Rhinolophus ferrumequinum: one gene and its partners. The protein of the gene in region 2 purifies or fractionates together with the protein of the main gene of each other region. This does not show direct contact. Links are inferred from orthologs where the notes say so. Each region holds a gene or a part of one and is shown on either strand. Other genes may lie near its edges. The genes, in order: RPP38, POP4, RPP25 and POP1.

Evidence for each region.
Region 1: the proteins of POP4 (region 2) and RPP38 purify together in Homo sapiens (affinity purification with mass spectrometry; 4 studies listed by BioGRID and IntAct, counting the BioPlex papers as one, with this or other methods). This does not show direct contact. The link is inferred for Rhinolophus ferrumequinum from reciprocal best matches to the Homo sapiens genes POP4 and RPP38.
Region 3: the proteins of POP4 (region 2) and RPP25 purify together in Homo sapiens (affinity purification with mass spectrometry; 3 studies listed by BioGRID and IntAct, counting the BioPlex papers as one, with this or other methods). This does not show direct contact. The link is inferred for Rhinolophus ferrumequinum from reciprocal best matches to the Homo sapiens genes POP4 and RPP25.
Region 4: the proteins of POP4 (region 2) and POP1 purify together in Homo sapiens (affinity purification with mass spectrometry; 5 studies listed by BioGRID and IntAct, counting the BioPlex papers as one, with this or other methods). This does not show direct contact. The link is inferred for Rhinolophus ferrumequinum from reciprocal best matches to the Homo sapiens genes POP4 and POP1.

What each region holds. Positions count from the first base shown.
Region 1 is NW_022680355.1:1,566,257-1,573,729, forward strand, and holds the start of RPP38 (ribonuclease P protein subunit p38), read left to right. Parts: upstream 1-4,453; 5' UTR 4,454-4,572; intron 4,573-7,473. UniProt on the Homo sapiens protein: Component of ribonuclease P, a ribonucleoprotein complex that generates mature tRNA molecules by cleaving their 5'-ends. Also a component of the MRP ribonuclease complex, which cleaves pre-rRNA sequences.
Region 2 is NC_046298.1:2,073,904-2,081,525, forward strand, and holds the start of POP4 (ribonuclease P protein subunit p29), read right to left. Parts: upstream 2,798-7,622; coding exon 2,791-2,797; coding exon of another isoform or gene 2,703-2,790; intron 1,196-2,702; coding exon 1,143-1,195; intron 1-1,142. Other genes in the region: uncharacterized protein LOC117034730, read left to right, coding at 2,703-3,092, 4,270-4,425. UniProt on the Homo sapiens protein: Component of ribonuclease P, a ribonucleoprotein complex that generates mature tRNA molecules by cleaving their 5'-ends.
Region 3 is NC_046289.1:99,496,825-99,503,688, reverse strand, and holds the start of RPP25 (ribonuclease P protein subunit p25), read left to right. Parts: upstream 1-3,998; 5' UTR 3,999-4,208; coding exon 4,209-4,850; 3' UTR 4,851-5,237; intron 5,238-6,864. UniProt on the Homo sapiens protein: Component of ribonuclease P, a ribonucleoprotein complex that generates mature tRNA molecules by cleaving their 5'-ends. Also a component of the MRP ribonuclease complex, which cleaves pre-rRNA sequences.
Region 4 is NC_046297.1:40,022,386-40,030,059, forward strand, and holds the start of POP1 (ribonucleases P/MRP protein subunit POP1), read left to right. Parts: upstream 1-4,656; 5' UTR 4,657-4,667; coding exon 4,668-4,773; intron 4,774-7,033; coding exon 7,034-7,177; intron 7,178-7,674. Other genes in the region: RIDA (2-iminobutanoate/2-iminopropanoate deaminase), read right to left, coding at 4,411-4,475. UniProt on the Homo sapiens protein: Component of ribonuclease P, a ribonucleoprotein complex that generates mature tRNA molecules by cleaving their 5'-ends. Also a component of the MRP ribonuclease complex, which cleaves pre-rRNA sequences.

The DNA of each region.
Region 1 (7,473 bases), on a different chromosome or scaffold from region 2:
TTGGCTCGCTCCCTGATTGTTTCTCAAGAGGTTGTTTGCAGGAAATCCAGAGAGGTCTCCCCAGGGCGCGGACCTCACTCGGGATTCCTTTTTTTGTATATACCTCTGTTCTCTCAGTAATTTCTAGAAACCTGGACGGTTGACAGCGTTTGTTCAGCCCTCTCCCGTCCCCCCACCTGTCTCTAAGCACAGTTCATCAGGAATGAAAAAGGCCGGTATTTTGCATCTTTTCTCCTCTTTATAAAGCAAAAACACTGACATTCTGAAGACATGCTGCAAACACCCTAACTACGTAGTTTTCGGTTATGGGCAAGACCTAGGACTACACACCTATTCAGTCTGACCCCATTCTCCAGGGAGCAAACCCAAAGTCACTCCAAGTCTGCAGACACAGAGTGGGGTCCTGATTCGCATTTGATTAAAATTTCAAAGTCTTGGCTGCCGTCCGACTGGAGTCTTGGTGGAATGAATGCCTTGCGATTCCTCCTGGAGGAAGGCCTCCCTGTCTCGGGGGAGACTCCCACAAGGTGTTTCTCCTCCACTTTCCTAGTTTCAGCGGAGACGAGGGCTTTTCACATTGCCCTCTCTTCTCACCCCCCCCAACCCTCCATCCCCTTACGGCCCAGCTGCCGGCTTCTGTGTTGTCTCTGAAACTGCTTGGCTGAGGTCAATGCAGTGTGACCCACGGCTCATAAACCCACGGTTATCTGACGTCTGTGATAGGGACATTATGCTGATCTTCCTTTTGCTGTCTTGTAAGTATAACAAATGGTCTGAATCCAGTTAGGTTCTTTTTGTCCTTACCGACCTTACGCATGGACGGGTGGCACTGCCACCATGCCGTCGCCTACGGGTTGCCTAACTGCTTGAAAGGCGTCACCTGTATACTGCTTCTTTGCAGTATTATATAGTCCTACCTAGCAGAGCTTCCAACAGCACAGGCTCAGAGGCTGTTCTTTGATTTTGTAGCTCATCATTAAAGTTTATTCTTAGTGACTGATTTAAAATAACTGATTACTACTTGTATAACAATTGTTGTTATATATAAGAACAATCAAACTGTGGTGGTGAATTTTATGTGTCAGCTTGACGGACTGTGGGATACCCAGATTAAACATTATTTCTGAGTGTTTCTGGATAAAATTAGCAGTTGAATCAGTGGACTCAGTAGAGTAGATCGTCCTCCCCAGTGTGCGTGGGCATCATCCAGTCCATGCAGAGCCTGCATAGAAAAGGCAGAGGAAGGAGAAAGCTGTCCCCTTTTCTCCCTGCCTCACTGGTTGAGCAGGGCCATCCCATCTCATCTTCTACCACCCTCGAACTGAGAATTATATCACCTACCCTTTCCTCTCAGGCCTTCGGGATGAGACTGAAACTATACTACCAGCTTTCCTGGGTCTCTAGCTTGTGACAGCAGATTGTGGGACTTCTCAGCCTCCATAATCACATGAGCCAATTCCTCATAATTATCTGTATATATGATATATATATATGTATATATACGAGGTCTGACAATTAAGTTCACGAACTTGTTGCACCGATGTTGCTAACCTTTTTTGATATCAGAGAGATTATTCATCATCAATTTGTACCAACTGGACAGTCAACCAAGTTTATTATTTGGAAGTGCTGAAAAGGCTGAGTGAAAAAGTTAGATGACCTGAACTTTTCGCCAACAATTCATGGCTCTTGCATCACGACAATGCACCTGCTCACATGGCACTGTCTGTGAGAGAGTTTTTAGCCAGTAAATAAATAACTGTATTGGAACACCCTCCCTACTCACCTGATCTGGCCCCCAATGACTTCTTTTTTTACCCAAAGATAAAGGAAGTATTGAAAGAAAGGCATTTTGATGACATTCAGGACATCAAGGGTAATATGATGACATCTCTGATGGCCATACCAGAAAGAATTCCAAAATTGCTTTGAAGGGTGGATTAGGCGCTGGCATCGGTGCATAACTCCCCAAGGGGAGTACTTCGAAGGTGACCGTAGTGATATTCAGCAGTGAGGTACATAGCACTTTTTTCTAGGATGAGTTCGCGAACTTAATTGTCAGATCTCATATGTCTACATACTTCCCACTGGTTCAGCTTCTCTGGAGAATTCTGAATTCTAACTAATACACACACAGCAAAGATTACAATTCCATAGAAAGAAAGAAGAATCTGTCAGTGAATTGTCTTATATTCTTCTATTGTTTTATTGGCAAACTTCCTTGTTGGGCCTTTCATTTAGTTCATCAAAGGACTGTGGCTAATGACATAACTTATCACCAAGTATCTTAAACCACTCTTACATCATGGCAAGCATATAAATCTAACAGCAGTCCAATTCTAGAATTAATATGAAAAGAAAGCTTTGTTATTCAAAGACCAAATTGAGTTTTACATGGTAAAATTACTGTTAAGAGCTATCATTAAAAAGTAAAGCTCATCATTCAGTATAGGATCCCAAATATATGGGTTTAAGTGATAAGTTGAAGACTATGCTTGAGAAACATGGAAAAATGTTATATGGAACAGAAATCAGAACACAGAATTTAATGTATATTATTATTTTAACAATGCAAACGCACACATAAATGTGCGTTTATGTGTGCAAAATGCATACAAATTAGGACACTGAAAGGAAATGTGTTTTGAGGTAATTTTCTCTTTATTTTTTTAATTTTCCATTTTAACCATTTTTCTTACATTTTATTGGGGAATATTGGCGGACAGTGTGTTTCTCTAGGGCCCATCAGGTCCAAGTTGTTGTCCTTCAATCTAGTTGTGGAGGGTGCAGATCACTGGCCCATGTGGGAATCGAACCAGCAACGCTGTTGTTCAGAGCTCACGCTCTAACCAACTGAGCGTTCCAGCCGCCCCTCTATTTTTTGTTGCAATGTTTGTGTGATACAAAATAGAAAGAAATTATCTTTGAAATGCAGTTATTCATTTTAGCAAAATTCCTGTGAAAATTATACGACTAGTCTTAAACGAGAACACAAGCATTGCAATCACAGAGGCTACAGTTTATTTTTATTAACTTAGTTCTTAATTCAGGTTGTCACTAGAGTCATCACAGTTCTCATTATCAAGCACTTTCTATGTGTCAGGACTGTGCTAAGCATCTTACATAGATTATCTCTTCTAATCCTCACAACTGGTACTATTTGTATCACTTCATAGAGGGTTAATTAGAGTCACATGCCTAGTTAGTGAAAAAATTAGGGTTTCAATCTAGCCAGCCTGGCTCCAGAGCCATGGAAGGTAATGGCAGGTAATCTTCATCGAGCAAATGTAAACTGAGATGATGCTGTAACTCTCACTATACGATCTGGAACTATAAATGTGGAACTTTGAGGGGACAAAAACTGATACACATTTCCTTTTCACTATTCTAGCATTTCAACTAGACATGTGTGTCTCCATTTGTCTCACAGCTTAGAAGCTAGATCTAAGGCTACTTTAGAACTGTATGTTTACAGTTCATCACAATGAACCAATAGGATTCATTTTATTAAACAAAGCCTGCTGTTACATTCAAACGCATTGTAACTTTTTCTTTTGATCTTTCTAATTGGGATTTAAAAAATCACAGTGTACTTTCCCGTGCAACCTGCAATAACCTTTAACAAAAAGCAACACAGCTTTTTTGTTATTGTTTACTTTATAACCAGTTAGATACATGTAAGTGATGAAAATTGAAAATACAGAAACTAGACCAAACCAAAGGGGGTGGGGGACAAAACTAGCAGTGAAGAGATTGAGAAAAAGAAGATGTTGATAAAAGGAAAAGGAAGGGGGGCGCTAAGTTAGATAGGAAAAGAAAAAGAAAGGCGGTGTGTTGGGAAGAGGCTCATTGTGTCATAAGTAACCTACTGTCTTCCAAGTTCTTGCCAAATGTAAATCAACAGATTCTGATGCCTGACCTTGAAAATGTTGTTCAGCTGGTTTACAATTGTCCATGACTTCCCAGCGACTCCATTCATAACCGTTAGTCTCCATTAGTTGGTGTAGCCACAGCAGACGTTTGGAGTTTTCTGAACTGCTGTCGCAGAACTCAAAGCAGCCTTTACTCCCTCTCTTTAAAGGGGCTCAAGATTGCCTACATTGTTGACTGTAAGCATGTTTTTTTCTCCCCTCAAAGCACCCTTCAGCCCCCATTTATTTTGATTTTCACGGTGCTGGGGATTCCCGCAGGGATGCGATGGAGATGGGGTCACTGGGACGGGGGCTAGGGTTTTGCGTCCCTTTAGGCAAGCCAAATACAGAAAAGCGGGAAGGGAGAGAGGGCTAAGACTGCCAGGCGCTGAAAGGTAGAGACTGGGTCGGAAGGGAAAGGGTGACAGGTGAGAAGACCAGCCTTCAGGAGGCTACAGGCTAAAGCCGGCCCCCAGACCTGGCAGAAGAGCTAGGCAGCGGCAAGTTACCGTAGCAACGTGAGATCTCGCGAGACAGACATTGCGCCTGCGCCCTGCTGCTGTAAGGCCTCGCCCGGAGCTTCAACACCCGCTCCCAAACAGGTTTTCAAAGGTTGCTACGCTTCTCTCCCGCGCGATGCAGTGAGCCAACCTTCTCTCTTGTGAGTGAGCTAACGCAGAATGGCGAACTGTGAAGTTCCTTGAGCATTTGGAAATCGGGGCTGGGGAGGGCGAGGGCTGTGCGCACGCGCGTGGCGGTGCACGTGGAGCCGGCGCCGTGGCGATCGTGAGTGGGAATAGGGCGCCCGGGACGCAGAGGGGCAGGAGGGGCCCGCCCCTGGTGGAATGGGGGCTGGGACTCGGCGAGTGTGAAGGCTTGCGGGCGCGCAAGGTCTCCAGGGCTTCCCCAGGACCCCCGCTTCCCCGGCCGCCACCGTCCGGATGGGCGTATTTTCCTGCCTCCAGCCTTGGCTCACGCTCCTATCTCTGCCTGGAGCTGAGCGTCTTTTGATACGAGAAATACTAAAGCCCCACCCTGACCCTTCAGTACTCCACAGCCTTTAAGTGGAGACGGACCACAAAATAACGACCATCGCGTATGCTAAGTAGTAAAGTACCAAGGCACTAGATACAGGGGCGACATACAAAGGGAGGAGTTAACTCCGGGGCAGGACTGCAGCCTCTGGGAACGGGCTCTCCCCTCTACCCTCTCCCCCCCCCCCCACCGGATCCAGAAACCTGGAAGCATCTGTCACTTACCTGCTTTACTCGCAGTTGATCCCAAAGTCGGGTAGAGTTTTACCTCTTGATTATTTCAGCTAGCATGTATCTGTCCATCTCTGCGGTGACTCTGGCAGGCCACCATCATTTCTTACCTGGACTTCTGCGGGACCCCCTTTGCTGCTTCCATTCTTGGCAAAGGACCCTTCCAGGCCCGCATCCACAAAGATCTTTCTGCAATGTCTTTGTAATCATGCCACTTCTCTGCTTGAAACGTTAGTCACTTCCCCCTGCAAGGCTTGCAAGGACCTTCATCTTAGGTAGGTCTTTACCTACCTTTCCTAATATGTCACCACTCTCTGGCATCTCTACCCCAGCAACACTGAACTTACTTCATGTCCTTTAACACTATTCCCTGGATACTCTTTCCACTTCTACTTCCTTTGGTAGGCGTTCTTTAGAAGTGGATTAAAAGGTCGCTTCCTCCAGGAGGACCTGCCTGATCTCCCCACTAAGTCAAGCTTCTGTTACATGTTCCCTTAGTGTCCTGTAGTTACCTGACCTGAATGTGCACCCTAATTGTATTATATTACATACTGATACCGTGTTTCCCCGAAAATAAGACCGGGTCTTATATTAATTTTTGCTCCAAAAGACACTATAGGGCTTACGTTCAGGGGATGTCATCCTGAAAAATCATGCTAGGACGTCTTTTCTGGTTAGGCCTTATTTTTGGGGGAACACGTGTCTTGCTCATAGATTCTAAGCTCAGTGAGGCCATGACTTTTTTCTAATACTTTATGACTTGGTGCATTGTGGATAATCTAGAAATACTTGTGGGAGTAAGAAAAGTGGTTATGGGGCTGAGGGTGGGAATAGTATTCCAGGCAGAGGAAATAATGTGTATACAGACGTGGAGGTGATGCAGTGGGTGAAATGTGCATAGTGGGGCACATGAGAAAGGCTGGTGGGGACATGGGAACAGAGAAGGGTCTTGTATGTCACCTTAAAGAGTTTGCACTTGATCCTATAGGCAGTAGAGGCCTCCAATAGCTCAAAAGGCACTGCCAAGGGCTTCCTATTTTTCTCCTCCTTACCAGTCAGTACTTTGTTTTTGGACTGTAGGTCCTAAGATTCTTCTTATCCGAACTTCTTGGCTGTCCTCTCCCCCGCTAGATTCTGACAACAGGAGTTAAATGCCTACCTTGCTTTCCCTCCGAAGCACATAACTCTAAGTATCTCAGTATTTCTTCTGCGTTTGAATGCTGAGACGTTAACTGACTCGCAGTGTGGCAAGAGCTGTCAGATCCTATTTGTCTTGTCTTCCTGACCACCTCCAACCTGATCCCAGTCTCTGCCAATCACCCTTGGATTTGGATGAGCTACTTCCTGGTTCCCTGAGCTGGAGGGGAGCATGGAGATAATAAGGGTTGGGGAGGGCTGTGCAGTGGGGCTGGTGTGAAGGCTGCAGGCACCGAGTCTCTGGCAGTGGGTACTACTGAGATGGGCAAGATCTGACCTCTCACCCCAAGGAGCGCAGTTGGGGTTTTGTGTAAGAAGGTGACTTATAAGCAACACTGGAGACCAGTGGAGGTCAGGAGACCGTTTCTCAGGGCTGTCCAGCATGGAAAGGCCGCCTGTCCTACACCTGCAGATTGTTCCTAATTAGTTCGTATCAGATTGACCCAGATAGCTTTTTACAAGTCCAGATGCCACAGCCCTATTCCCAGGGATTCCAGTTGAGTAGATCCAGTGTAGGGACCAACCATCTGTATGTTTTAAAGGCCACAGGTTATTTTTGAGGTGCAGCCAGGATTGGAAGAGCATAAAATTTAGATTTGGAAACCAGCTGTGACTTTGAGCAAGGTATTTGATCTGAGTCTATTTCCTCATCCTCACATTGGGCAATTATACAGGAATTTTGAGACTCAAATAATGGAGAAAGTGCCGTATAAATTCTGACACACTCCAGACACTTGCTCGTGAACATCGGTAGCCAGCCTGGTAACCGGGAGTTTAACTGGAGAGGACTTAATTACTAATCCTGCAGTGGGGGTTTCATGGAGTGTTGGCCTCGGTGCGATAAAGGACCTGGGTGGAATAAGGGAACATCTAGAATCTGGTTACCTGAAAATAGGGACAGTTCCAAACTGCAGACTTCTCCAGGGCTGGCTTATTTAACTTCCTTGAGTGTTGCCACGTGGGTCCCTACAGTGCTTAGCTGAGCCAAGGAAGAAGATGAGGAAGAAAACTGAGGGAAGAGAAAGGGATATGCAGTTGCCTCTGGGCAGGAGAAACAGGATATACTCCCTAGACCAGTGCGTTATAAAATTTTCCCAGTA
Region 2 (7,622 bases):
ATGGCCTTGAAGGGAATGATCCTCACACTCGGGAAAACGGCACACCACCTTCTCTGGGGTGGGCCCAGCCCCCGGGGTAGGGGTTTTGTCACTGTGCCCACGTTGCAATCCCCTTTACTTGGGTTTCCAGTTCTGTGGATGAATCGTGGCTACTCTCCAAGCCTGTTCCCACATCACTTGGGGAAAGGAACTGTCAGCACCCCTCAGGCCCTGCCCCCACGCCCGTGCTCACTCTCTTGTACATACAGCACAGTGTCATGTGACCGTGGCTCTCAGAGAGGACTTCTGGGCAAACCGTCATAATCGTGTATAATTCTTGAAGGAACTCCAAGCATCGCCGCCTCTCGAGCTGGAGACCTCCAATCTGTCCCTCATTCAGGAGCGGCTGCCCGGGTCTGCCACAGCCCAGGGAGCACCACCCACTGGTGTCTCGGCGGGACCATTTCCTGGGCCCCTGTTGCACTGGGCCACAGGCTGCAAACCCCCCGAGGCTCCTGTGTCTGTAGTCATCAAGCCCTCCCCTCAGGGGGGCGGGGAATGAAGGTGTGATGCACATAAGGAGCTCACCGGGGGGAGGGCACGTGGCTTCAGCTTGGTACCTTGGATGCTAACTAAAAATCATCACTATTATCTCTGTAAGGGAACAATTATTTGACTGTGGGCCCTCCTTCATGGAGAAGCCAAAAAAAGTATATCCGTCTTTCAAAATCTTGATTTTGAGGTATCTCCCTCATCATGAGTCACCAGTGGAGCGTGTGCCAAACTGACAAATCATGTTTGCAGCATCCAGGTATACTCCATAAATTCCACTTATGAAATGTGATTTGCCTGCCCTCTTCAAGGGTGAAGGGGACACAGTGACAACGTCAAATGACAGTGCTCACAGGCGCAGGTTTCAGGTGGGCATAGCCTGGCGTCCCCTACATAGTGGGTGATGACACAAGGTCAGGAAGTCCTAGTTAACCAAGCTTGACTTTGGCACGATGGGAAAGGAGGCCAGCATATGAAACAGGCCAACAGAATAACAGAGCTCGAGGGAACCTAACACGGCTACTGGAAAGGTGAGGAGTAAGACCTGGAAAAGGACACCTAAAGCAGCACTAAAGGCTAGAAGCCACCGGGTGGACTTCCTCCCACCTTACCTGAACATCAAACTCTTCCGCCTCTTTCTGAGAAAAGGCATGGTAGATCGCACCTGGGGGAGTGAAGAGCACAAACACGGAATGACTCCTGTTGGGTACGGCTATAAGAGCCAAGAGGCTTTTAACTACGAAAATAATTATGCTTCTTCAGAGATAGGAGAAGATGGCACGGTGTAAAGAGCAGTTTCAAAACTCCCTTGGATGCCTCTTCTCCTACTCTCTGGCCATGTCCATCGTGGAACTCCCAAGGGGGTGCTTTAAAACAGGGCTTCTCAAACAGCAAGGTGTGTAAGAATCTCTGGGTTCTTAGGAAAAAGTGGATTCTTGGCCCCACTGCCACACCCTGCATTCCTAGCAAGTTCTCCATGTCACTGTGGGTCAGCGGGCCACATCTGGAGTCGCAGTGGTTTAAAATACCGTAGTTTAGAAACCTGGGAAGTTGCTCAATTAGTCTAATAAAGTAACTCATCTAAAAGTTATATGATAGGGCTTTCCAGGATGCAGGTGGTTGGCAATATTACATTTTGTTACGTGTAAGATGTTTAAAAAAGATTTTTCACATTTTACTATCTATGAACTTGGGATGTACCCTACAAGTGGTGCCCTAAACTGAGAAAATACAGGTCTTTCTTCAAGATCAAAGTATATCAATCATTGATGTGGTTTCAACTTCTACAAACTTCCACACTCCTCTTTTTTACTTAATTTGTCTGAAGAAGAAAACTAGGGCACTGAGGACAGACTATGGGTCTGAACAGAGTAAGAATGAGAGAAAGGCCTGGTTTAAGGGACAGAAGAATAGAAAATTTGGTTCACACTACACTCTGTAAATTTCATCCCAGCTCCCTTGTGCTTCCCTGAGAACATGTGATGAAGCAAACCAAGTGGCTGCAAGTTTGATGTCTGGAGTTGAGTTCTCCCTTGTGATGGGGAGAGCAACTTACAGGGCCTGGAGCCCCAGGAAGGACTTTGCCTCACCTGTCACAGGTGCCTAGCTTTAGACTTGGGAGGCTTTTGTAACAGTACACATCTAATGGTATTGAGCCCTCACTACTTGCCACGAAACTCACTGAAAGCCACACATATTTCATCTCATTACACTTTCTGAACAATCCTTTAACACAGTTATTATTAAGTTGACACAGGTAGGAACCCGCAGAGGCGGAACTCAAAGTCCTGACCCAAAGCCCCGTTGTAACGGTGTTTCCGCTCCCCTGCCTGTGACTGCCCTGGGTGCTCGCTCCGCTCCGCTCCCGAAGCTTTGCGTTAGTGGTATCACTGCCCAGCAAGCGCCCAGAGCTCTACACCAAACAAGGGTCGTTCACAGAGCAGCAGGTGCCAAGGCACCATTATCAGTAACTGTACTTTACAGAAGGGGACCTCGGTCACCCAGGGAGGAAGCGGCCACATCGGGCCAAGGCCTTGGGCCCTCCTCTAGCTTCAGACCCCACTGAGCAGCCCCCAGAGAACCGGCCTCCAGCTCTGCCATCCACCCTGCGCGGAGGCGGGGTCAGGCTATCCGGGCCCCGGGCCCGTTTCACCGAAGTGAGGTTCCCGTAGGACTCCGCAGCGCTCCTTCTCACCCGCCAGCACCAAGCCCGACCCTTCCCGTCCCACCCCTCCGCCGCTGCGGCCCTCGACCCCTTACTCTTCATCCTCGGACCGCTTCCGGCGCGCTCTGATGACGCCTGCGTCAGGCGCCGCTCAGCGGTACCTTCCGGCTCCTTCAGCAGCGCTCGGCCCCCGCAGCCTCTCTCGTCACAGCCGCGGGTGGACAGGTTCCGGGCACCCGAGCTCGCGCGCCACGCTAAGTCGACAGGCTGCCCGCTCGGACGCAGAGCGGGGGTCGCAGGCGCGCGGAACGCGAGGACGGCGCCGCCGTGACGTCACCGACGCGCGCCGACCTAGAGTGGCGCCGGCGCGCGGGAGCGGCCTCGGCGGCTGGCGCAGGTATGGCCGCTCCCGCGCTCGTCTGTCCCTCGGAGCGGGGCTAGCCTGTGTGTTTTGTGGGCGGGGGAAGGCTAGAAGCCGCAGGGCTGCGGTTAGGGCGTGTGGGATGCTTGATCCTTTCTTTTTTTGTATAGCTCTGAATGATAAGCTTTCAAACATGCACGCAGATGTTTTCCCACTAGTGGTTTTTTTGTGAAATTTCCAGGGGAAGTCGAGTTTTGATGGTATCATTGCAGATGAGTCTGCCCCCCCCCCCCCAACAATTTATTGTGAAAATCTTGAACTATACAGGAAAGGAGAAGAATTTTACAGTGAACACCTGTGCGCCATTCGATTGTACAATTAACGTTTTGCCGTAATTGTACAGGTTTCCTCTGATTGCTGCTTTAAGACATTCAGGCCGGGAGGTTGAGTACTCTAAGAGAAGTGTCATGTACAAGCCCCAAAAGATTAAGCCTCAACTATTAAACAAGCGGGCATCTATGAAAATTAGGACCCTTCTAGTAGAGTTTAAGTAGAAGAAATGGTAATGATCCTGAAGAAGCACCAGCAAATCTGTAATGAGAACATGGAAGGCTTTGTTTTCGGTGAAAGTTGTAATCCTCCAAGTTAAAAAAGTCGGTGTATTATTTTATATATAACATAAAATATAATTTGATAAAATATATGTATATACACATACATATGCATACACATGCACACACGTGTATATACAAGGGGTGATCAAAAACTACAGTGAATGTTTAAAAAAAATTATTACAGTAAAAGACACATTGCTATTAACCCCCTCAAAATACTCCCCCTCCTTTCGAACACACTTATCCCATCATTCTTGCCACTTTCTGAAGGGGTCCTGGAAGTCCTCTTTTGTGAGTGTCTTTAGTTACGCTGTCCTGGCTGCTTCCATGTTCTGAATCGATTCATAACGTTTACCTTTCATGGTCCTCTTGACTTTGGGGAAGAGCCAGAAGTCACATGGTGCCTGATCCAGTGAATAAGGTGGATGAGGACACACCGTAATGTTTTTATTGGACAGAAGTCGCCATATCCGAAGCGATGTGTGACATGGAACGTTGTCATGATGGCGGATGAAACTCTTTGCCCATCTCATGTTAATGTGTTGTTTGTGATCCATGATTTACGGCACACTTTAAAACACACCTTCTCTCAACCGTAGCTCACACCCGACTGACTGCACCAACAAGTTGAAACTTGTCACACACACCGTTACTAAGGTTCGACGCGCCGCTTCCTGTGTTGAAGATCTCTGCCTTTCCGTTGGATGGCACTCAGCAGCAGCAGTCACAGTGTGTTTTGATTACATCTTGTATATGTTCGTATGTATATACATACAGAATTTTTTCTTTCTTTTGTGTTTTTGTGAAGTGGTTAAACCTGGTGTGTTTGAGAGGGATGAGCCCTGTTCTGCTGTTTTAGACAGGAAGGCCTTGTTTGTGCCATGGGATTGACAACAGTACCTGCTTCCTAGGGTGGTGTGGAGCACTCAGTGATATGACGCCCATGTTAAAACAGGGCTGGCACAGACATGGTTTGAGAGATGCTAGCCATCGTTGTCTGCATTCTCACAAAGCTGAAACAGTCCCTGAGGCTCAGTGTTACGAACTTCCCTGGCCCTGCTTTGCCTTTGATCTGATGATTGTCCAGATGTGGTGTATTGAGAAGGGGAACTGGGAGTGGTGGTGGTGGGGGACTGCACACGGGGGCCCCAGCAGTCATTCCTCAAGCTCAATAGTGCCACAGGAGACTGCCCATTCTGACAGCGAGTGAAGGGACCAGGCTGTAAGGTGCCCGTGCTAACATGGGATATTCCTGCCAGGCCAGCCCTGTCCTGCTGGGTCACTGGGTGCTCTGGCTACAAGAAAGGACCGATGCTTACAGGGGGACAACGTAGCAATCCCTTCTGGTCACGAGACAGCACTGTGTTCTAAATTAGTTTAAGAACCATTTGGAATTTTGAACAGCAGGGGCTAGGACACTTGGCATGTGTGACCAAATACCAGTTTCTGAAATCCAGGTTTCTCAGTCTTTCAACCCCCAAAAGTCACTCTTCAAGGCTGTCTTGATCCCAAGTGTCTAAAAACTCAACTGTCATAGATGCTTCCAGTTTCCTGATGAAGTTTTACTCTGAGCTGAACTCAACTGAGGAAAGCTTGGTTTGAGTTTCATGACAGGGTGTCTTAATGAACTGGATGGAGGCTTTTGGGGGTTGTAAGAGATCTTCCCTGGATGTCGTTCCTGAGGCCCTGGAAGGTTTTGCAGGGAAGTCAATGCAGGCTGCATGGGGCAGGCGTGCATGCTGCTGTGTGTTTGCATAGGTCTGAGTCCATGATGGCCCCAAATATGGGAAAGTGGGAGGGAGAACCAAGCTGACAGAAAATCACCCCACACTGCCATTAGGACAGGGCTGGAAAGCAGAGACCTGGTTTTATGATGTTTGACTCCCAAAGCCCCTCCGGAGGTAGGGAACAGACCTCCCCTTCAAGATATTTGAAGCCAGATGGGGACTTGAGCATATTGAAAAATATAATTCAGGGAAAAAGTCAGGCCCTCGGCATCGCTGCCCAACAGGAAAAGGTATGCCCAACAGGAAAAGATGGAGACACCTCTCAGCCTTCCCACGCTCTTCTGTTCTGTCACCTGCAACATCCAGGTTAAGATTTAAAAACCAGTACGTATGACACACAAAGAAGCAGGAACTGTGACCCATAATCCAGACCAGAAATGGTCACTAGAACAGGACCATTGATGACCCACGTTTTAACTGGAAGACAAGGCCTTTAACATACTATTATAAATACGTCAAATGACTTAGTGGAAAAGATGGACAAAATGGGTAAAAAGATGAGGAATTTCAGCAGACACATGGAAATTCTAGAGCTGGAAAAGACTTTTTCTGTTTCCTGTGATGGTAGGTGCCTCCATGTTCAGACTTAACATTTTCATACCTACTGAGAATATGTGCCCAGAGCACACACACCCTTCCTTTTTAATCATGTGATAAATACTGTTTCCCTCGAGCCCCGAGGCCTCTCTGGGCCCCTGTGTCTTGCTTGTTAAATGAAGGGAGCATGGGGACTGTGTCAGGCCCCCTTGTAGCCCCTGCACTGCCCGCTGCTGCAGGGACAAGTCCTGGGAAGCGTGCTTTGTGTGCTCGGGTCCTGGTGGCCACTTCCTGTGGCTGGGAGCCCTCACAGGGGCTTCAGGAACCTGAAGAACTGGCCTGTGGAGGTTACCAGCTGGGGAATAGCTCCACGGCCGGGTTGGTTCCCGTTTTCCATCTTCTCAGGACCCACGTCCATCCTCATTTGTGAGGTTCCTTTTGCCTGTCAGTGTGGTAACAGGAGGACTGGCCTGTTTACCCAGCGCTGGTCTGCAGAGCGCTCAGGCCCTGGGGTGGGCCGCAGCGCTCCTTGTAAGCTTGGAGTGGCTCCTGTGTTTCTCTCAGGTCTTTGGGCTCAATGGGGGACTCCGAGGACCCATGGAGTATGGAAGGAGCATGCGTCTCTAACACACACCTGGAGGCCTTTGCTTTTGGAAAGGACGCCCCCACACTTTCCCCATAGGAGCCAGGAGGGGGGCCGCCGTCCATCTGACACAGGGTGGGGGTGGGTTGGGCGAGTGGTGGAAGAAGTAAGGGCAGAGGTGGCTGGGGTGCCAATGACAGGCCACACTTCGGATTTTTGACAAGGGTCGAGTCTGCTATGAAACCTGTTTTCCTATGTAATGAGGTTCCTTGATTCCCCCAAAAGAGCTGGCATTAATATTAATTCCGCCATTTGGACTATGTCAGCTTACATTGGCATTTGTTATTTATTGGTTTACTTTTTCTTTCCGGGGAGGTCTTGGAGTGTTAGACATAAAAGCTGTCCGCAGTCAAGGCAGGATATCTGAGTCTGTCACGAGGTGGCAGCCTAACACAAGGACTGAATCAGTGGCCGGACGCTTCTTCCAGAGTCTGGAGTAATTGCCTTCCAAGCCTGTCAAAAATCTGGTTTACCAGCCACTTCAAAGACTCTCAGGCCTTGGTACTGAAAACCATGGCCATCCAGGAGCTGGGTTATTTCTCTATAAACAGTGTAACTCGATTTTGATCAATACCTTCCCTGCCAGACAGAACAGTTAACAGAGTCAAGTGGTTTAATAAGATAGAGGTTAAAAGGAGAGAGAAATTATGGGAGCCTGGGGAAGAGGTGTGAGTGTGGATGACATTCAGAAATTGATGGCCTGTCCACGAGGTGGAAGGAGAGGAGCCAGGATTTGTGGGTGCATGTGGCCTGTTACAGGCGGGGCTCCTTCTGGGAAGGTGCGGAATGGATTTCCACTCCTGTCCGCTTTGCTTGCTTTTTGAGGTCCCCTTGTTTTTTCTTTTACTATGAAATGATTTTCTGCTCAGTGGCCTTGTTATTACCAGGGAAAGAGACAGTCATACCTTCAGAGGAAATAATGCACCATCCGGCAGCGATGCAGTGGCATGGGCTCATGAGTTTCATGTGACAAACGTCCTTTGCT
Region 3 (6,864 bases), on a different chromosome or scaffold from region 2:
GGTTGATGGAACAGGTTGTTGTCCTGACTCGGTCAAGCATGTTAAGCAATTTCCATACCGAGTGGCGTTCACATACTAGTACTGTGATTACCCCCTCCTTTACCCTGTGTAATTCTTTGGTGCCTGCCAAGCTGCTGGAGAATCCAATTCTCTTGCAGCCGCCCAAGACATGCCTCGTGTCTAAGTTTCCCTTAATAAACACCATTAATTACCAACTGGAGTGCTGTGACTCTTTCTTCGGTCTTTTCCCTGCCCTCCACTTACAGAAGCATATTTTCAGCCTCAGGTCTTTTCCCTGGGTCTGTCTATAGGAAGAGTCCTCTTCCCGCCATTGGAGACAGAGGAGAAGGAGACCTATCTTGTGCCACGGATTTTTCTCCCAGTCTTGGGGTGAGAAGAGACTTGTCCATGAGAAGCAAGATGTACTATTGGAAAGGTGCATAAGCCTGGCCAATGCAGAGCAGGGGCTGGTGCCCCAGTAGCCAGGCCTGTCACCACCTCCCCTTAGGGTGAAAGGAGTCTGATTTGCCACTCCTTAGTCCCTAACATATTGGGAAAACTGCAATTTCTAATTTCCTTTCCAATTTCCAATTTGCTCATTTCCTTTCCTTTTCACCAGCTTTCTTTCCCCTTCATCCCCCTTTTTAAATTTTTTAAATTTATCTTAAACACACATAATATATGAAAACTATTAGCCAGCATTTTCTGAGAACTTACTAGCTAATGTTCTAAGACTGTTAGGTGTCTCACAATCACTTTATGAGGCAGGTTCCTATGTTAGCACCATTTTACAGCTTAGAAAACTAAGGAATAGAGGTAAAGTAAACGCTCAAGGTCACAGAGGCAAAAGAAGCTAATGAAGCTCAGGCTTCAAGGTGAGTACCTCACTGACACGGGCAGTCCCAAGGCTCTGGGCTGAATTTTGTATTCATAGTTAGTAATTTAGCAGTTCTTTTCTTAAAGAGGCCCACAAAAACTGGAAGCGGCCTTAGAGGTAACAGATGTCGTATGCCGTCTTCTTGCAGATATTTAAAAAATACATTTACATCTACGCACATACACACACACACACACACACACGGAAATATCTCCCCCTTTAAAAATACCTGTGGTCCCACAGTGTGTACAGCTAGCACCCGACTCTTTTAACAGAAAGTCTTGACTCTCCACGGTTCTAACCGTCGAGGAGTGTCGGCCAAAGAAGCTCCAATTTATCAACCAACCTTCCCAGAGCTGAGCCTCCACTCCCCTCCGGACCGCGACCGCCCCTTCCCCCGGGTTCCTCCCCGCGTACTCTCCCTTCCTCCCGCTCCTCATCGCCGTTTCCTCCCTCACATCTTTGCTACGTCTATAACGCCCCCATTCCAGGCTGCTCCCTCCGCATTTCTCCTTTCCTTGCCCTGGCCCTGCGCTTCCGCGCCAACCCCGTTTCCTGCCCGGCGTGGCCCCTCTGCAGCCCCCGCTTCCTCTCGGCGGACCTCACTACTCTTACTTACGCAGCGTCGCCCCCACGCTTCTCGGATCCCTCCGACCCCCTCTTCCCAGCCCTGCCACTCGGCGGCCCCGCTGGAGCGCACAGCCGGCGGGCTACGACGCGCGCTGACAGGGTAATGAATGGCTTCAGCGGTAATTAGAGACCCAGCGGCTAATCATGGTGTACATTTACATTTTAAGTGCTGCAGAGGGAGCGAGGAAGGGGAGGGGACAGGGAGGAGGGAGTGCGGGCCTTTTCGGCGCTCTCCCTTCAAGGACCCCGGAGCGAAGTGAATCCAAGTCCTGTACAGCTGACGGCAGGCGCGGGGCGGGAGGAGGGTGAGGGGAGCCCCGCCTTCCCGGGCCAGACCAGGCGGCGCCGCATCCTCACCCTTTGCAAAACCAGAGCTCACAGGCCCTTTCTTCCAAACTGCAGACTCCTGCCTTCATGCCCCTCCACACACCCAAGGGAACGTTCTGCCTTGGTTTATATACCCCGCGGATGAAGAGCTTGCTTTTTCCCTAAACAACCCGATCCAAGGTTCTGTGTTTCCCGGAAAATAAGAGCTAGCCTGACAATCAACTCTAATGCGTCTTTTGGAGCAAAAATTAATATAAGACCCGGTATATTATATTATGTTATATGATACTATGTTATATTGTATTATACCGGGTCTTATAGCAAAATACGGTTGGGTATTATATTATATTATATTATACCGGTCTTATAGTAAAATAAGACCTGGTCTTATATTAATTTTTGCTCCAAAAGACACATTAGAGGTGATGGTCCGGCTAGGTCTTATTTTCCGGGAAACAAGATAGCTTCCGGCTGTTCAGGGACTTTCTCAGGCCTAGCCAAACTGCCGCCTTTTAAGTCCCACAACTTCCCTGGCCTTACAGAGTGTGGGGTCCCCTGCGCCCCCCCCCTCAAGCGCTGCAGTCTTTGTGTCTTCTCAAGGCTGCTGTGCCTCCGGCTTCTATGGCTGTTCCTCGTGGGGCCCGCGGGAGCTCACGCGGGGCCCAAGTCCAGATTCAGAGCAGAACGCGACCGGAGGGCCCCTCATCCCAGCGAGCGACCAGGGGATCGGGGGAGGTCCGTCACTCAAACGTTGGGACGCAAAGGTCCACCTGCTCCAGCCACTCCCAAAGAGCGGTAATGGGGTTAGCCCGGATTTCTGAACAGCAAAGGCCGAGAGCTAGGAGTTACAGGATGCCGAGGAGGCGATAGCAGCCTTGAAAAGGGAGAGGAGGACTCCGGCAGCTCCATCTTAAGACTGGGGCCCAGCTTCCCCAGACATTGTCGTGCCCCCAACACTTTCAGGGTTGCCCTCCACTAGCTCTTCGTGCGCCACTCCGCCACGTTCCGTCTTAGGCACCCCACCCGGATCAAGTCTGCCCCACTCTCTCAGTTCTGACTGTGAGGTGCGTGAGATGGGTGGAAGGATAAAGGCGCTGGGGCCGTTCTAGGAAGGGTCCCGCTCCTGCAAACCCCTGCCTGCCTTCAGCAGTCCTCGCCTCTTGGCTTCACTGTTCATCTCTCCTGGCAGGAGACCTGGGGCCACTCTCTCTCGGTCCAGCGGAGTTCCCGGAGAGGGGCACCCAATAGCTTCATAATGCCACCAAAGCTTCAACTTCCCATCTTCCTCCCTTTTCTCTTTTAAAATCTGTCTTCGCCCAGTCTCCTTTTTGGAAAAGGACCCCAGAGGTCTCGGGGCCAAAGCTGACTGACAGCGAACCACTTGGGAAGAAGGGGGATTCACGTCAGCAGGGAAACATGCCTGGCTTATCCTAAGGCCTGCAGCTCTAATAGTAGACTTTCAGGCAGGGGTGGAAGGAGCTTAACCCCCCTTGAAAAGGGATCTCCTTGTTCTCTTCCCATTCATCCCAGGGAACAGTTTGGCCAAGAGCCTCACTGCCTACTCCCCAGGGGTGTCCCGGTGTCCGGTAACCTCCAAAGCAGTCAGGCGCGGCTAGGCTGAGACCTCAGCCTCCGGCTGCCCCGTGAGGACCACGCCGCGACGTAGTCATCCGAGGGCAGGCACGGAGTAGGGCCGGAGACAGCGCCTTCCGCACTTGCTGACCGTGCACAGGCTGTCCTTGAGCCAAGAATACTGGCTCAGGAGCGGAAGCGACAGAGTTGGGGGGGTCCCCAAAGGAGTGGGGGAAAGAGGCCCTGCAGGCCGCTTGTAAGTCTCTCCGTGGGAGGGGAGAAGAGGCTGTCTTCAATTGGAACGCACGCGGAAGGGCTTGGGGACCCTGCTTGAAGCGGCGTTTGCAACGCAAACACAGTTTTTATTTAGCTTGCCCGTTTATAAGGGTTGGCTCGGGGAGGGCTGATGACGATTATAGGGGAACTTCGCCTACCAAGTCACCCTCTGGCGCTGCCGTTGCGCACCAGGATGCGCGCTGCTCCTACGCCCCTATAGCAGAGGATCTGACCGGATTCCTAGAGGCGGGTGAGGCTGGGGCGGAGGCGAGAGGACCGAGTTAGGGGCGGGGCCTGAAGGTAGGGGCGGGGCTCCCAGGCTCCCAGGCCGGGCCTCCGCTAAAGGCGCGGAGCATCCGGCGCCGAGAGCGCAGAATAGAGCAGCGATCCCTGGAGAGAAGTGGGAAGCAACGATCGCGCCGTCGCAGCCAGCCCGCCAGCGTCCGAGCCGCTCCCGCACCCTTACCCCTGCCGGCCTTTACCCAGTCGACCAGCGGCCATGCAGCTCCGAGGCTGAGGCGACCCCATGGCGAAGCCCGCGTCCCCGCGGTCCGGGCAACGACGGCGCATGGAGAACTTCCGTAAGGTGCGCTCGGAGGAGGCGCCGGGGGGTGGTGGGGCGGAGGGGGGCGGCCCGGGCTCCGGCCCCTTCGCGGACCTGGCGCCCGGCGCTGTACACATGAGGGTCAAGGAGGGCAGCAAAATCCGGAACCTGCTGGCCTTCGCCACCGCCAGCATGGCGCAGCCAGCCACTCGCGCCATCGTATTCAGCGGCTGCGGTCGGGCCACCACCAAGACCGTCACGTGCGCCGAGATCCTGAAGCGCCGCCTGGCTGGCCTGCACCAAGTCACCCGGCTGCGCTACCGGAGCGTGCGCGAGGTGTGGCAGAGCCTCCCGCCAGGGCCCACGCCGGAGCAGAAGCCCAGTGAGCCGGCCGCCAGCCTCAGTGTACTTAAGAACGTGCCCAGCCTCGCCATCCTACTTTCCAAAGATGCACTGGATCCGCATCAACCTGGCTACCAGCCCCCGAGCCCCCATCCTGACTCTTCATCTCAGCCAACCGCGCCAACGCCCAAGAGGAGCTTAAGGGAACCCGCTGCTGGAGAAGGCTCCGCGAAGCGGTCACAACTCGAGCCAGGTGCTGCGGAAGAGAATCAGACGACCTGAACACTCCCGGCCCTGGGCCACCAGACGGGCTGGATCTTAGCCCCAGCGCCTCCACCTTGAGACGTACCTCCAGCCGTTCACACCTCGGTCAGCCGGAGCTCACAGCCTGCTCTCAACTCCTCAGACTGGTTTCGTGGACCCCACACCACAAGAGAGGGACCCAAGGAAGCTTCGTGGGGCGGTTGCTCCTCCACTTGTGTTGCCTGAAAGCAACCTTCATCTTTTCTGAGCCATACTGGGATCCTCTTCAGGGAGGGAATTCCGGGCAGTGGGACTCTTGAGCCTTACTCAGGACCCCGAACGGTTAGAGACACCCAGCATTCATGAGGAGGAGTGTGGAAGCCAAAGGGAGCTCTTGGAATTACCCCCACCAGCGGAGAGCAAGGGGTGAGAAACTGGTAGGGGAGTTTGTGTTGTGGGGAGCCCCATTCTGCCCCTCACCCCAAGACATTTACCTTTGTAGTTTTCCTTCCCCTGCTTTTAAGGAACATCCTGAGATTATGGTGGCCAGGCATCGCCCCTGGCTCTAGCTCTTGTAACATCCCCCCCTCCCCATGCTGGCCCAGAGGGACAGACCCAGGACAGAACTCTCCATGCCTCCTCCCTTGAGCCCCACAGCTGGAGTCTTGCTTCCAATAAAACAAACACAAAAATGGCTCTGTCCCAGGTTTTTTCCTAACCACTTGCCGGGCAAAGACAGCTCTGGCCTGCCCCCTTGTGTCTCAGTCCCCTCCAGCCTGGGATTCTTAGCCTTTGGAGTCTTCAGGGTCAGGCACAGACTGGACAGTTTCAAAATGGTGTGAGAAGCACAGTGTTCAGTCCCTGGCTTCTCCCTCTCTCTCCAGCCTTCCCTGACTGCCTCTGGCCTCGGGCTTGTGGGTGGAAGGAGGCCTGTCTCCCCCTGTGCATCACCAGTAAGGAAAAGGGAGCAGCACATTGCTTTTCTAGGAGAGAAAGGAAGAAGAGCATGGATGAACTCCCCCGGGAGGTCATTGCCAAGAGTGGCAGAACCTACTGGGGTCCCTAAACCTGCAGCCTCCTGCCAATAGACTGAGCTTTGTCTAGAAGACCAGCACAAAGCCCCTCATCCCATGGGTAGGATCTCCTCTTCACTGCTCCTCTCTCTAAGAAAGGACAGCACACCCTTGGGAGAGGGGGCGGAGAGAGATGAGCACAAATCCATTGCTGGAAATTACTATTCAGCAGAGAAGCTGGGACTTGGGCTGTGAATCCCTGCAGGCTCCCTGATAAGCTGCTGCCTCCAGCCCTGCACAGCTGTCTGCTGAGAGATAACGGCCTCATAAGCCTTTCTGCCCAACTCCAACTCAGCTGGGGGAGGAGGAAGTGCTGTGTGCTGGAAGAACTCCAGCAAGTAAAGGGGGGGGCACATAGCCCCATGACCTCAGAAGCACACCTCACCCCATGCAACAAAACAGCACCCTGGAAAGGAGGAGATGGGGACTTACATTACACAAACGTAAGTCACTTTGCTGGCAGAACCCTGAAATAAATCCTTCTGCTGGTGATAAGAGGTACGTTTCTGCAGCTGACAGAAGTTGTCCCTCCCCCATGTCTCTGCTTGAGCTTTGGGTCAGGGAGGCCTCCCCTCCAGACTGGCACTGGTTGCCCTCCCAATTTATTGTTCTTGATGAGTCCCTGGGGAAGGCTGGTTGACTCTTTCAGGTGGCCAAATAAGGGTGGAAAGAATATAAATTATCCTAACGACCAAGGAGCCCTGGGTTGGTTCTGGGCTTCCTCATCTAAAAGAAACAAAACTTAGAAGAGGTAGAAGCTTAAGAGAGATTGGTCCTGGTTCTGGAAAAGGGCCAATGCTCCGAGACCACCAGTGTCTGAAGTCCTGACTGGGCAGTCACAAGGACTCTGCAAGCAGAGGCTTTCTCTCCGATGACTTGGGTCAGGTAAGTCCCCTTCTGGCCTGGAATCTCCCGGGGCGTGGAGAAAAGGGGGGCTTTTTGCTGCCCTACCTTCAGAATGTTACCTGTCCCCATGCTTG
Region 4 (7,674 bases), on a different chromosome or scaffold from region 2:
ACCGGGTCTTATATTATAGTAAAATAAGACCAGGTCTTATATTAATGTTTGCTCCAAAAGACACATTAGAGCTGATTGTCTGGCTAGGTCTTATTTTTGGGGAAACATGGTATTAGGATTTAGAAAGTTTAGGAATTCTCCCTATCTGGCTTTCACCCTGGCCCACAAATTGATTAACTATTGAGTTTGTTAATATGTAAGCTTCTCTCAGGTTGAATAGTACCATCAGCTAACACTGTTTCTATTAACTGTCCTGTGTAGAATTAGGCTGTCCTCGGCCCTTTGCAAAGTACCTTTAACTCTCCCCATATCTGGAACATAGTTTAAGCCCTTATGCATTATCATTCATCAAAAACTTTATGACAGTAAGAAGGAATTCATTTATTCTCAGAAAATTAAAAACCCTCAAATAAAATATAAAAAAAAAAAGTAAGGCCTGGACCTCTGAGACTATCGGAGCTATGTGAGTTCTCTCTCATAGATTAGCAGAGATAGTTCACAAAAACAATGATAGTTGACCCTTCCTAAGCATAAGGATCCTACTACCCATAGACAGTCATCAGGCTCTAGAACATTTAAGTGTTCTACTCCCAAGTCAAAGGGTAATAATACTTTAGAAACATCCTAGTAATAATTCTCACATCATAATCTGTGACACATGGACTATCATTTCAAAATTTTATGACCATTTAGATGGTATGCAAACAAAATGGAAAGCAATGCAATAGCAATGTGATGTCGAAATCTCTCAAGGTTCTGTTGTGAAGTATTCCTGAAATGTGTTGAACTGATTAGCTAATTAGTGACAACACCCCATCCACCCCAATGCCAGGGACTGAAAGTTCAACACATTTGAATTTTTCCTGGAAAAGACCCAGAATTTTCAAAAAGTGCACTCACTACCAACTCCATGCATAAAATCTCATTTTCCAAATGGTTGTTAAAACACGTCCAATTAACTTTATCAGGACATAACTAGTTAGGTGGAGTATGTTTTTTTCTTCATAAAATATTGAAAATTAGCACCATTTCTAGTATCATTTTTGGATACAAAAAAGCACAAGAGGCACAATATCCTGGAAAGTCTCCACACAATGAAGCTGGTTGATGGCTTTCCTCTTGTCATACGGGCATATTCATGGAATGATTCCCTTCTCTTTTGCTTGCAGCTTTATAAAGATAGTTGACTCCCAGGTCAGTCAACCAGGGGTACTACTATCCTGCTTTCTTTCTTGAACAAAGTATATACTTGAGGAAGATATATGCTCCAGGCTCTGTGATCACTTTGCTTTGTTAAGGATCACTTTTATTCTGAGGTAAAAATAATGGGTGATTGAGGGATAAGCATTAGGGCATAAGGAGGAAGAAGATTACTGATTTTTTCTTTTACTGTAATATCCCTTATCTATTCTTAATATCTTCTCCTCAAATTACTATCAGAATTCTCTTCTTAAAAGAGATCAGATCATGTCACTTCCTCTTCAAAAACATTTGATGGCTCCTCAGTGCATTCACAATAAAGTTTATACTCTTCAGTTTAGCGTTGGAAACCATCACAATTCAGACCTTGTAACAGCTAATGTTTAGCAAGAGACAAAACAAAAATTCAAATTCAAAGTCTAACTCCTAACAAGTGTTTGCCAAAGCGTAGGTCACACACAAATACAGAATATCAGTAAGGAAATGATTTCCTTTCCATTCTCTTTCTTCATCTGAAAAATGGGGACTGTAATACTAGTAACTGTGTACATAAAGCACTGAGAACAGTGCCTACTGCTGAGTAAGCCTCAATAAAGGTTAGCAATTAAGAGTTCAATCCGCTAATTACATGGAGAAAACAAGTTAAAGAAACCTATCATTTTTAAAAAAAGAGAAAGGCCTTGGGTTTTGAGCCAACTGCAGTATCTAGCTAGAATTTAATAACATTTTTTATTCTATTGAGTTTATTTTTTACTGTTACTGCCTATTGGGTTTTCTATTTAGAGTACTGTCGTAAAGTTTGCTTTTTAAATTTGTAAAAGTGAGCCATCACAAAATAAAGTGTAAAGTAAATTATAATATAGGTGGTACACAGATTTGGCAAATGAAAAAAAGAGTTTAAAAAGAAAAGAAAAAAAGAGGAAAAGTGGTACTTGGATGACTAAATGTTACTCCAGAAAATCTTTATGCCATGTTTTCTTCTAGCTCTATACCTCAAGTCATTCACTCTAATTAGAATGCCCTTCACTCCACAACTTCCTGTTGAAGTCCTGAACAAAGTACAGTTCAACCCTGAACAATGTGAGGGTTAGGGGAGCCCACCCCCTCCCAACTGCTGAGAATCCAACTTTTGACTCCCCCAAAACATAACTACAAATAGCCTACCCTTGACTGGAAGCCTTACCAACAGCATAAATGGTTAACACATTTTGTACATAATATGTATTATATACTGCATTCTTACAATCAGGTAAGCTAGTGAAAAAAATGTTATCAATAAAATCATAAGAAAAATACATTTACAGTATTTATTGAAAAAAAGCCACGTATAAGTGGACCTGTGCAGTTCAACCCATGTTGTTCAAGGGTCAACTGTAATTTAAAAATCAAACTTTACAATAGTACTGTAAATGCAAATCCAACCTTCAAAACCCACCTCAAAGACTACCTCTCACTAGGAACCTTCCTAAATCTTCTGTCCCTCTGCCCAAGGTTAGCATCAAATTCTTTCTTTTCCTCTTTTGTCACCGCTCACCCAACCTCCATGTCCCCTCAGTCCCACTGCACTTTATTTCTAACCCTACTATAATAATTACTCATCTGCCACACGTAAGTGTAGGGCTTGTTCAAATTAAGCTCTGTCACTTGCAGACTGTTTGACCTTGGACAAGTTCACTTTGAGCTTCAGTTTTCTTTTTGTAAAGTGGGGATGGGACTTAAGAGAAGTTGGTCTGTTATGGTGCTTGCTATGCAACATGCACTAAATTAAAATGTTTGTTTTTCGTTTCCCGATATGTGTGACTGTCTTTCATACTGGATTGATTCTTACACATTTTTATATCTCCTGCAGTGTTTGGCAAATAGTAGGTACTCAATACATGTTTGTCATAGTTCAAGTGTTCCAGTTGCAGAAATTTTCCAGCTGTAGTTAACAGTGAACATACTACAGACTATTTTAAAAAGGAAAATGGAAAAAAGTTACAGGATATACTTTAGTGAAGAATTAAAAATAACAAAAGTAATATTAGGAAAAAAAGTCTCCAAGAATGCATATAAGGTCCAATAATTTTAAAGCTGAGACATTTTTAAGAAAACAAAATCTAAAAAAAAAAAAAGGAATTAAACTTTCAATTTAACAGTGCTTCTGTACACAAGATAGACTTCTGGCCAGTATACCTATTTTAACTAGAGCATGTCGGGCAATCTTAGAAAATGATCTTTCTTATGATTTGTATTTTATTTTAGTAGTGTGAAATAAACATGGGCAAAGAATTCATAAATATCACAATGCATTTATATATGTGCTGTAAAATCCAGGGTCGTGGGTAGATGTGCAAGGTTTTGCTAAGCATTTCTGTGAAAAGAACTCACCTCTCCCGAGGGCACCCACATCTGTGGATAGGATTTACTCCTTTGAATTAAGACAGAATTAGACCAAACATTATGCCAAGTGAAAGAGAAGTCAAGTCACAAAGGACCACATATTGTAGGATCCATTTACTATACATTTAGAACAGGCAAATCCATAGATACCAACAGTAGATTAGTGGTTGCCAGGGGCTGGAGGAAGAGAGTGACTGCTAATGGGTATAGGGTTTCTTTTTTGGGGTGATACAAATTCTGAGATTACATACAGTGTTTCCCCGAAAATAAGACCTAGCCGGAAAATCACCTCGAATGAGTCTTTTGGAGCAAAAATTAATATAAGACCAAGTCTTATATTAATTTTTGCTCCAAAAGACACGTTAGAGCTGATTGTTCGGCTAGGTCTTATTTTTGGGGAAACACGGTAGTGGTGATGGCTGCACTACTCTGTGAGTATAGTAAAAAAGTCACTGGATTGTACACTTTAAAGGGCTGAATTTTATAGGTATGTGAATTATATCTCAATAAAGCTGTTACAAAATAAATAAATAAAAAACAGACCACGTCTAACCCCAGAAACTTTCTGGCTGACTGCGCTCCCCCGTGAGGCAGTCCACCCGGGTCGGGGCAAAGTCTCCGGGAGCGCAGGCTTTGTGTCTTAGTGGGGTTCCTAACCCACTGTGGGTCCATGGGTGCGTTGCCCCGTTTCCCGAGTTAGGTTTCCTCAAGTGTTAGATTAGGTTGGCCCAGGCCCACCCCAGCTATGATCCGGGTGGTCACTGCCGAACAGCTCACCCCACACCCGACACGCCTGGGGTCCGACCGCGCTCCCACAAGCCTAGTTACCTGTAGGGACCAATGGCCCCTGGGGCTTTCGTGGTGCTGATCACCTTTCTGATCAAGGATGACATAGCTAATCTTTTTCCTTTGAGGCCTCTTGGAGAGAACTATCCGGTACACTACCCCAGCTCGCGACTACTGGACTATCCAGAGTCCAGCAGTGCCACCAGAAACAAGACGCCGGGGCGCGTTCGCTCAGCGTTCTGGGAGTTGTAGTTTCCTTGCGGCTCTCGGCCACGTGGAGACAGCGGTCGCACTGGCGCATGCTCCCTCCAGCTCTCTCACCGTTCACGTCGTTTTGGAGACTGTGGCGGAGCCTTGTCATTCTGACCGGGAAGCCCTGGCTTCCTCCGTCGGTTCGTCAAGCAGGTAGGTCATGAGGGGATGGTGTCTGTTAGGGTCCGCGACTTTGGGGGAGTGAGTGAGTGTGTGTGTGTGTGTGTGTGTGTGTGCACGCACGCACCCTGCCCGGCGTCCGCGTACTGTCCCCCACGTCCCCACCCCCTATATCTTCTCTTCCCTCAGACCCCACTGGCTTCTTCTTCCCTTGCTGTCTGCTCCTGGGCCCCTCTTGCCGATCCCACACCTCCCTCGGCCCCTATGCTCGAGCCCTCTAAGTTTATCATTTTGTTGCATTGCCCCACCGGGCGGAGGCCGTTCTGGGAATGGGCTTTTACCTTCTCTCCTTAAACCGTAGAGGAACGAGATGGATCATTCAGGGGACCACGCTGGGATTTAGTCCTTTTCCACCTTCCCGCCCCTCCCATGTTCCCTTTTTTTGAGTACTCCTGGAGCTTTACGAGGTCTCCATGCGTTCCGCTTTGATCTGAGCAGAGCCCTAGTGTGTGGGATCTGATTTCAAAAAGGAAGATAGTGATCTTGATCCAGCAAAGGGCCCCAGGGTTGGTCACTTGGCAGCTATGCAATCGTCATGCTGTGTCAGAAGAGTGATACTTGGCTATTTTTTATTTTGTTAATTAGTACTTTGCAGGTACGCTTCACTCCCTCATTTATGCGCACATATGTACATTCAACAAATATACATTGAGCCCCTTCTTTGTGCAAGGCACTTCGCTAGGTGTTGGAGAAACAGGAGTAAAAAAGTTAGGTAGGATCCCTGTCCTGCCCTGCTTTTAAAACATAATATAAGAAAATCCTGTTTATTCTCCTCATTTTGCCCCACATACTGCTAAGGTTTTGGCTTTCCTACTTCTGCTCAAGAACTTTCGTGTTTTTTCATTATTTCATAATGTCATCTAATACAATTTTGGTGAAATATTTGCATACAAGAAATGCATATCATTTATTAAAATTACTTTTTAGTTCTTTTTTTTTAATGATTTTTTTTTATTGGGGAAGGGGAACAGGACTTTATTGGGGAACAGCGTGTACTTCCAGCACTTTTTTCCAAGTCAAGTTGTCCTTTCAATCTTAGTTGTGGAGGGTGCCATTCAGCTTCAAGTTGTTGTCCTTTCAGTCTTAGTTGTGGAGGGCACAGCTCAGCTCCAGGTCCAGTTGCCGTTGCTAGTTGCAGGGGGCACAGCCCATCATCCCTTGCGGGAGTTGAATCCAGCAACCTTGTGGTTGAGAGGATGGCACTCCAACCAACTGAGCCATCCAGGAGCTCAGTGGCAGTTCAGCTCAAGATTCCGTGTTCAATCTTAGTTGCAGGGGGCACAGCCCACCATCCCTTGCAGGACTCGAGGAATTGAACCGGCAACCTTGTGGTTGAGAGCCCACTGGCCCATGTGGGAATGGAACCGGCAGGCTTCGGAGTTAGGTGCATGGAGCTCTAACCGCCTGAGCCCCCGGCCGGCCCCGGCCCCCACTTTTTAGTTCTTTAGATTACAATTAGGGCCCATATTGTAGAGCATGCATTGATAAAATTTATACATGTCTGGTAGGTTATGTTATTAGTGAATTTCATTTAAAAATAGAAAACGGGTCTTTGAAACTATGCAGAAAAAAAGGGGGATGTTGAAAATTGAGAATTACTGAGTAAATCCATCAGGCTTTTCCAGATTATTGTCCTTTATCCTTCCTTCAAATTGAAATATTTTTGCTGTTATAAATTAAAGGTGCAGCTGGCCTCATCTCAGTAGTAGAAATGAAAACATCAATAATTTATGTTCAGTTTTCGTAAAGGTTATCATATCAGAATAGTGTGTTCTATATTTTAGTGATTCAGGTGGCTCATGTTTTACCCAAGAATTTTGATTAAATGCTTTAGTTAATTTAATTTTTTATCATGGCATAGGGATCTTATCTCATACCTCATTTTTCATTCAAAAGACTTTATGCAGTTGCCAACATTGGTATATGATTTAATTATTTGGCAGCGTAACTGGAATGTACCAGTATAGTCTCTTGCATCAATAGCATTATTTCTTCTATTGAATCAGATTTTTGATGTTAATACCATTCATGGCTCCTCTAGAGATCCCCCTGGTTATTAATCCCTGCTATATATCAATATCATGATAACATTTTGATATCACCAATCCACCTGAAATAAATAAAGATTTATTATATTGAAGAATTAAATATTGAATCACATGAATATTTATTAAATTTATTTTTGAATGGAAGTTTCCTTTCCCTGTACTAAATTTGTTAACTTTCTTCCCAGAAATGTCTAATGCAAAAGAAAGAAAACATGCTAAGAAAATGAGAAACCAGCCCACTAATGTGACTTTATCCTCTGGCTTTGTGGCTGATAGAAGTGTAAAGCACCATAATGGAGGTGGAAAACCTTTCCGAGCTCAAAAACAAGGTAAGATACACCTAATGCTCTCTCCACTCCCATTTGGAGCAAATTTCTTTCCTCAGCACCTTTTGATAGTTATTATCTAAATAGTAAATGAGCTGAGTTAAAAACAGATACAGTTGACCTTCATTATTTGGAAATTTTGTATTTGCAAATTCACCTAGTTGTAAAAGTTTATTTGTAACCCCAAAATTAATACTCATGGCACTTTGGTGGTCACTAGCAAAGTGGAGAAAAAATTCAAGTCACCCACATGGACGTTCCCAGCTGCCTTCTTGTTTCAACTTGCATACGGAGATGACCAGAGGATGGAGACAGTGGGTGGGCAGTGCAGTATAGTGCAAGAAGCTCCAGCTCTTAGTGGGGTTTGAATTCCAACTGTGGGGTGACCTCAGGCAGGTCACTTAACACTTCTGAATGTGATTTTCTCTTTTGTAAAATAAAGAAAATAGAACCTACCAGGATAAGTTGTTTTTACCATTTAAGATTATAACCTACGCGAT